2 linked regions of the Oryzias latipes genome follow. The protein of the gene in region 2 purifies or fractionates together with the protein of the main gene of each other region. This does not show direct contact. Links are inferred from orthologs where the notes say so. Each region holds a gene or a part of one and is shown on either strand. Other genes may lie near its edges. The genes, in order: zc3h18 and srrt.

Region 1 (3,823 bases), on a different chromosome or scaffold from region 2:
AAAATAAAAATAAAATAATCATTATCTGATCTTTGATCATGAAGGAAGTACAACTAGTCAACAACACAACGTGTTACACTGTACTGCTGTACCTTATGACACAGTATTTAGATTGGACTTGTTTTTTTTTTGTGTGCATACTATTGTTTTGTTTTGTTTTTTAAATAAAGTTTGATTTGAACAAATACTAAAAATCATCTTTAGAAAAAGACATTAGCAGTTATCCTGGATAAGTAGCTGTGGCTACACAGTTGACTGTATAAGAAAACTGGTCTGAGTTTAGTGTGAAATCACCCATAGAAGATGACTTCCTTCCAGTTCCAACAAAATGAGTCAAACAAGTGTGCGCCTTGTCTGAATAGTTTTTTATGTATTTATTTTTCTTTACTATGTGTTGGAAAATTATTTGGAATGTTAAAGAAAAAGTACTTTTTTAAGCTGTTTGGCAACAAAAGATTTTGAAAAGTTCTAAAATGTCTTGGAATCTTTCAGAGACGTATGTCTCCTATGGGGTGACTCTTGAACGGCTTCAATAAACCAAATCAAGTGATTCAAAATGCTTTAAACCATGTAAAATTAAGTTTAAAGTGTATTATAATGTTAATTTCTCACAAAAAATAACCCCAAAGCTGTATTTTGATTCATTCATGCACTTCTGAGTATTCCTCTGAAAAACCTACTCTCTGAGTTCTCAAATTCATACTTATGAAAGTAAGGAAGAGCCCCTTTCAATGCACATTATGCACATCTATCTTTACAAAAGTTCAGAAAATGAAACACAGACACAGGCCGGCTCTATGTTGATGTTGATGTTATGAAACGGGCGGCACCCACACAGAGCCAATCAGAGATTCAGTCAACTTACTTCAGGGTATGAAAATGAGCTGGGAAAATATATTTCCCAGCTCATTTTCATTAAAATAAATCATTCTCTAGTGTGCCAAAGATAATGTATTATCATTTATGTGTATAGTTTACTCTGAAAGGCTTAAGAAAAGCATGATATAGGCCCTATAAACAACAAGGCTCAGTTGGGAGGAAGAAGAGTTGGTCACAGAGTTTGTTGGTCTGTATATAAATTCTTTGTTGAAGTGAGAGAAAAAATTGGTACGTTTTTGTGATTGAACGAATTCAAACTAAAATAATACTTTTTTATGTTTGTTTGTTTTTTAAACTTAATGCAGTCTGGCAGTGTTATTCAAATGGTGACCCGCTTGCCACTTACAGGTCGCCGGTTTGTTGCAAAGCCACACACTCTCACACCTTGGGACAATTTAGAGATACCGATTAACCTGTGAAGCATGTTTTTGGAATATAGGAGGAAGTCGGAGTGTCATGCAAACTCCATAAAGAAAGGTCCTAGACTCTATTTGAACCAGGACGTTCTTGCTATATAATTATCTTTTACAGAATGATTAAAAAGATTTAAAGAGAAAAACACTCTGAGTGTGTGCAGACATGCTTTTTAAGCAACAGTCAGTTTGAAGCCCTTCAGAATAAAAGTGGCACTCAAACATACCAATTAACTTAGAAGCACAGTGTTTGTTACGACACGTCTTTTTTTTTTTATTAAACTGCAAATGGTGTGACCGATTTCACAGAGTGAAAATCTAATAAATAAGAGCTTTTCATATGAATCCGCTGTGTTCTGATGATAAACATATGATTGGTTTATCATTAAAAAAAATTTAAAAAACACTTTTTTTCGCTAAAATCGTACAAACTCAATTCATTGTGGTCCATGTTCCCCAATCTAGTGAACATTGATGCACGCTTGTTTTTCGCAGAGACTTCTGGGACATTTTTAGTGAACTGGATTCTGGAATGGGGATACCCATTCAGACAGCTTTACAAAATAGTGAACACACTATAAAGTGCACTACGAAGTGAGTAGTGGAGGAATTCAGGCACAACCAACCTATACAGGTTGTGCCTGATTGTGATGTCATCCATAAAAAATGGTTTACTTCCGACTCCAATCGAATAAAGTCACCATTTTTGTGTGTTATGAACGTTGTCGTGTTGAAGCCAGACGTCGTCAGTAAGCTGTGATTGATTCAGGCTGGTCTGAGTCGACGTTTCTATGGCAACTACTTTCCCCCATCGGGAGTGAGCTTGTTGGAAGTCCACACCCATATTACTTGAAAGCGGGCTCTGGAGAACCTGTCAAAGGTTTTGAACATTTGACGTGAGACCGCCTACTTTTAACGAGGCATCTGACTGGTCAGTTTAGGAATTGAATAACTTTCACAACAGAAAGGAAAATATTAGGGGGGGGGGATTAAGATTTTCAAGACTGTTAAAAAAGAATTGCCATTCTGACCAAAAAAAATGACTGAGTAACAGATGGTTATTTCTCCTAGACGGATTTCTTGGAGCTTCCTGTTTGGACCGTGAGGGGGAGGGGTCACTCAGTCCTGACTGAAGTTCTCGGTTTTTTCCCCATATATTCCAGGAGAACTGTGAGTGGGAGTGTGAGTGGAAGTGGCAGCAGTTACACCGGTTCCAGCTCCAGATCCAGGTCATCCTCCAACTCCCTGTCTCGCTCCCGCTCTGGATCCAGAAAGTCCAGGTACCCGCCTGCACTCTGCTGCAGCTGACCGAAGGCTTTCTGGAGGCTGAGAATTCTTACACCTATAAGAAAAGTTTGCATTTAATCTGTAGACTGAAGATGTGTTGCTGTGGTGTGTTGGGCCTGTCTGTTGCATGCAAACATCACGGCCTGCTGATCTCTCCGCAGATCGCTCAGTGTCAGCAGCGTTTCGTCCGTATCGTCTGCATCGTCCAGCAGCTCCATGCGTAGCGCCGACTCTGACGACATGTACGCAGACCTTGCAAGCCCGGTGTCCTCCGCCAGCTCCCACTCGCCCACACCCAACCAGCCCCGCAAGGAGCGCAGGCCTCCACGAGACCGCTCGCCTCCGGGCCGGGACAAGAACAGGGGTGAGTGTCCCACCAAACACGTGGCCGGCTCACAGTCTTAAAGAAACTCTAGCTTGTTGAGGTTTAGTCTGAAAGTTTTTGTTAATTGCAGAAAGACCGTCAAAGAAAGATGAGCTTTTTAGGGAAGATCGCAGGAAAATGGACCAGTCTGGAGCTCCACCCAGAGGGGCTGGTGCCCCACCTCGATCTGGACCTGGCAATAGGGGAGGCCCCCCTGTGCATCCTCTACCTGTGGCTGGTGGCCCCCCTGGAAGCTATGGAGGTTCAGGTTCCCACAAAGACATCAAACTGACCCTGCTTAACAAGGTTAATGGTGTTTCTATCAGAAGTTTTGCTGTGAACTTTACCAAGGAATAACAGTATGTTTGCTGTTTTTCTGTCAGTTAAATTAACTGTTTGTTCTGAAAAAGTTGGTTGAATTATTCGTCTTTTGGGGCAGCAGGGAGACAGAGGCAACAGAAAGAGGTACCTGCCTTCAGACAAGGACCGGTCCGGTTCCCCTCTCAGCAAGAGGATGGCCATGTCTCCAGACCGAGGTAAGAAGCCACAATCGCAACAGGACCAATGATCATGGTCAGGTTCCACGCTGCGGACGCACAACCGGCTATTAGCTGCTTTCATCTTCTAGTGTTTTCATTCCTTTATCTCAGGGGTTTGCAACCTTCAGCACTTACAGAGCCGTTTGGGTCGATTTCCCTCTGACAACAACCCAGTAGGAAAAGTCATAAAGTTGTACTTCTACCCTTTAGAAAAATGAAAATAACAACTTGTATTTGTGTTACTGTTACACTTCATTTAAAATATGTATTTGTTTTGTGATCTCTCAATCACACAGAGGAAAGTAGACACTGCCCTGCAGTTTTCTCTGTGCTTTGCTGTT
Region 2 (4,280 bases):
CTGCTGTCGGCGAAAGTCAACTTTGTACTCATTGTACCGCTTGACTGCCTCCGTTTCATCTACAGAGTCATCCAGGGACAGCAGAAACTCCTTAAAGCTCTTCATTATTGGAGGGGGAGGACCCAAGTCCATCTCATGGATGCTACCAAGCCTGAGAGAAATGGGATAAGAGGAACTTTAGCTGTGATTAAGACAATTTAAGAACTAGGAAGTGAACTTCTTGTAATTGGGGTCAAAAACAAAGTCATGTTTTGGTTCATCCTAAACAATTCCAGCAAACACTGCTTTACCTGAATTATGTGGACAGAGACACTATAGTGCCTACCTTATTTATTTTCAACTAATTAATTATCAAAGACAGAACAGAAAAAAGAAAATACAAGCAAGAAAGGTGCAAAGCTAAAAGGTAAATAGGAAAAAGTAGCTTACAAATGTATGACCACCCGTACGGAAACAAAGAATCAAAATTTATTTTACCTTTTTTTTTTTTTAAAGCAAATTGGTATACAGTGATCCCTTGATTATCGCGGGGGTTACGTTCCAAATAGAACCCGTGATAAGCAAAACCCGTGAAGTAGAAACCTTTATTTTTTTTACAATTATTATACAATGAAATACACTATTATACATTGAAAAGAAAGAACAAACCATTTAACAGGCTAAATCAATTGTTTTTTTAACAAATAAAAGTACTTTAGAAACGTTTTTTCAACAAATAACTTCTGTAGTGTGCTGTCAAATAATAATTTCAATCATCGATAAGAACAGAAGGCTTTAAATTGCGGAGATTAGCCCCGCCCACCGCGACCCGAGTGGATTAAACGGAAGAAAATTTAAAATGATTATGAAAAAAATAAAAAAGTACAGTGGGACATATAGTGACTCCGGTCTTCTTTTTCACTGCTCTTCATACTGAGCCGCTGCATCCTGTGCAGCGTTTTTTCCTTCTGAAGCCCGCGGTGCAGCTGCAGGTGTGTTTGTTCGGGAGAGGAACATAGTGATAGGCAGTTGTTGTCGCTCTTTTTTCTTCTTTGCTAAAGATTCTTATACACCGACATGCCCCCATCGATTATGTTGGAGAACTGTAATGAACGGCTCATCAAAGGGTCCCATTCTTGAGCTACTCGCTGTGTGACTTTTTAGCCAATCAGAATGCAGAACACAATGCACAATCCAAATCCGTGAAGTAGCGAAACCGTGAAAAGTAAACCGTGATATAGCAAGGGATCACTGTATATCAAAAAGAGTAACAAAAACAAAGTTTTTAAAAAAAAATAAGCTAGGTTCTACTTCTCACCTTGCCTGAATTGGGATACCCTGATGCGGTTGCATGATGTGTAGGTCAGGATGACCCCAGGGCTGAGGTGGGCCATAACTGGGCCCTCCTCCACCATAACCTAAATCATAACCTCCACGGTATGGATCTCCGCCGTGATCGTCCCTACAACAACAAGAAGGTATACTTTACAAAAAATAAAAAAGACAAAAGGTGAATTGACATTGCCTCATCTTTACATGTGACCTTACCAGTCTCTTCTCATGCGTTTCTGATGGGGACTTAAATCATGGCGAGGAGGAGTAAATCTCTCTCTCCGGCCTCTGTCATAATCCCGGTATTCACCACGGCTACGGCGTTCCCTACCCCTGTCCCATTCTCTGGAATATTCATCAAAGAAAAAAATGCTTTAAAACGATCACAAATCAAAGGGTTATAAAAGTAACAATTGAGAACAGAATGGCATATTTTTTATTGTTTATTACCAGGTGAGATGGCTTCATAAAGGTTATACAACTCCACTATAAAATAAATGTGTGAAATGTTCACCTCTCGTTCCAGTCATCTCTGCGACGGTCTTCTCTTTCTCTGGAGCGGTCATAGTCACTTCTCTCACGTCTGAATTTATCCCTCCTTCTGCGATCGTATTCGTCATCGCTGTCTCCCATCTCCAAAATACAGACAATAGCATTTAGATCCACAGCCATTCATCGAATAAATTAGTGTTACAGCTAAGGGTATAACAATTATTCCACTTTCAAATGTTTGTGTGTACATTCATTTTATTTACATTTGATTATCTTGCAGGAAATTAAAGGAATCTGGAAAACTTTACCTGCACTGTTCAGTACCCAGGTACGTCTCTCTGATTCGCACTGGTTGAATATTTAGCTAAATGTCCTAATCGATTAAGTCAGTCAGTGTATCTATCAGATTGTTCAAAATGAACCAATGTCGAGTATGAACCATGTTAACAACCACAAAATATGATAAATCAATTCATTGTAAAAATGAACCGTTACACCGGTTAGCTAAAAAAAAAAAGAGAAAAAAAGCTATCACGTTTCATTTAGTAATTTCTTTTTAATATGAATATTAAGTACCTATCAATACAAGTTAAAACAGGTCATTTCTGCTCAAGAAAACATTTATGTTGTGTACTAAGAAGAGCTCCATAGTGAGAGGAACGGTGCGTTCAAGTGGAGTGGGAAAAACAATGAACATTCGGGGATCATCATTAGGCAAGACATGCTGCGCTAGCTGAATCAATATCTGACCCAGGATGAAAGCGTAAAACCTAAGCTAATTATTTGCAGTAGTGAGTATTGGTTGGTTAACCAAAAAATGTACTGCTGTTAGAGACTAAAACGAATCTTTATCATACTCACATTTGAAGAGTACAACAATGTAACGGCTAACGCTATCGTAGCCCCTGGCTAAGATTAGCCAGGACGTTAGCAATGTCAGCTAAATGTTTACGTTACTTCAAATTCAAAGCACACAAACCAGCCTCGCAGATGAAAACAATTTGCTTAAAATTATTCGATCAAAAATACTTTAGTTCAACAACAAAAAATTACAACGCATGAGCGAAAATACCTCGAATGATATTCAGCGTTGTCTCCCTCTTTTTCTTGGTGTTGGACAGCAGTGTTCGAGAAAGAAAATAGGCCAGAAGGCAATAGCGCCACCGTATGGTGTGGAGTGTAACCAAAAAATGTTAAAATTCATGAATCCATCCATCCAGCCAGCCAGCCAGCCATTTAAATTTAATAAACAAGGGACAGTAATTATTCAAACCTTTTTTATTCTTCTTTCTAAACATCTTCAGACATAGCATAACTTTACTGACACGCATATATTAGCATCTGTTGGATCGCTGTTTGCGTGTCCACATAATATAAAATTGTAAAGAAAGACTCCAAAAGCCTTGAAACCTCATTTACTATTAGCAAATGAATTTTTCAGCCATGATTGATGAACGATTGGATTGGAAAAGAACTTTAGTCTGGTTAAAGTAATAATCTCTATTTGTGTTTTGCTATGCCCATATAATATTGTTTCTGTGTACACCAAGTATGAGCAAATTCACTTACTAAGAACATATGTTTTTTTTTCTCCCCCCAAAATTATAATAGCAAGTTGAGTAACAGTAACAAGCAATGGCCTTACAACATATCTACCTTACATCTATCTATCTATCTATCTATCTATCTATCTATCTATCTATCTATCTATCTATCTATCTATCTATCTATCTATCTATCTATCTATCTATCTATCTATCTATCTATCTATCTATCTATCTATCTATCTATCTATCTATCTATCTATCTATCTATCTATCTATCTATCTATCTATCTATCTATCTATCTATCTATCTATCTATCTATCTATCTATCTATTACTTTTTAATGTTATACTACAGTAAAACTGGAGAAGGAAATGTAACTACGTAAAAGGTTTACTCCATAGAACTATTTAATTTGATAAAGTACTAGACACAACATTTCACAAAATAAATTATTTCAAGTTTTTCTTTGACAAAATTGTTTTAGACCAGTCCTCAGTAACACTATTGGATGTTTTGTTTTCGGTAAACAGACTTCGTGTTCCCAAAGTTTTTATGACATACCAGTTAAGGGATTTAAGTGAAATGTAAAATAATGTAAAAATTCACAGCAGAAGCGTTTGGCAATCAAGTAACAATTTATTAAATTTAACAGTAAAATGCTGAATCTAGCCGTTCTTTGTGCTCTTCTTCGTTCTTCCTCTGAACTTTAACTGCTGCCTCATGTAATCCAGGATGTCTCGGGGCCACACGTGAGTAGCCTGTGCTTCATCCTCCAGGAAAAACTCTGATTCCATCTGAGGAAAGGTTTGGCCGTCCCTTAGGTCCAACATGAAGTTTTCTCCAGCTCCACCATCTACGTCCTTGTAGTTAGGACTGTTCGGAACATCCTATTGACATATAAAATTACAATGGAAACTGTTATATGAAAA

The links.
Region 1: the proteins of srrt (region 2) and zc3h18 purify together in Homo sapiens (co-immunoprecipitation; 4 studies listed by BioGRID and IntAct, counting the BioPlex papers as one, with this or other methods). This does not show direct contact. The link is inferred for Oryzias latipes from reciprocal best matches to the Homo sapiens genes SRRT and ZC3H18.

What each region holds. Positions count from the first base shown.
Region 1 is NC_019864.2:26,635,050-26,638,872, forward strand, and holds part of zc3h18 (zinc finger CCCH domain-containing protein 18), read left to right. Parts: intron 1-2,455; coding exon 2,456-2,572; intron 2,573-2,740; coding exon 2,741-2,943; intron 2,944-3,034; coding exon 3,035-3,249; intron 3,250-3,382; coding exon 3,383-3,479; intron 3,480-3,823.
Region 2 is NC_019872.2:15,817,292-15,821,571, forward strand, and holds the start of srrt (serrate RNA effector molecule homolog), read right to left. Parts: upstream 2,960-4,280; 5' UTR 2,876-2,959; exon of another isoform or gene 2,665-2,875; intron 1,945-2,664; coding exon 1,826-1,944; intron 1,657-1,825; coding exon 1,528-1,656; intron 1,442-1,527; coding exon 1,298-1,441; intron 152-1,297; coding exon 1-151. UniProt on the Homo sapiens protein: Acts as a mediator between the cap-binding complex (CBC) and the primary microRNAs (miRNAs) processing machinery during cell proliferation.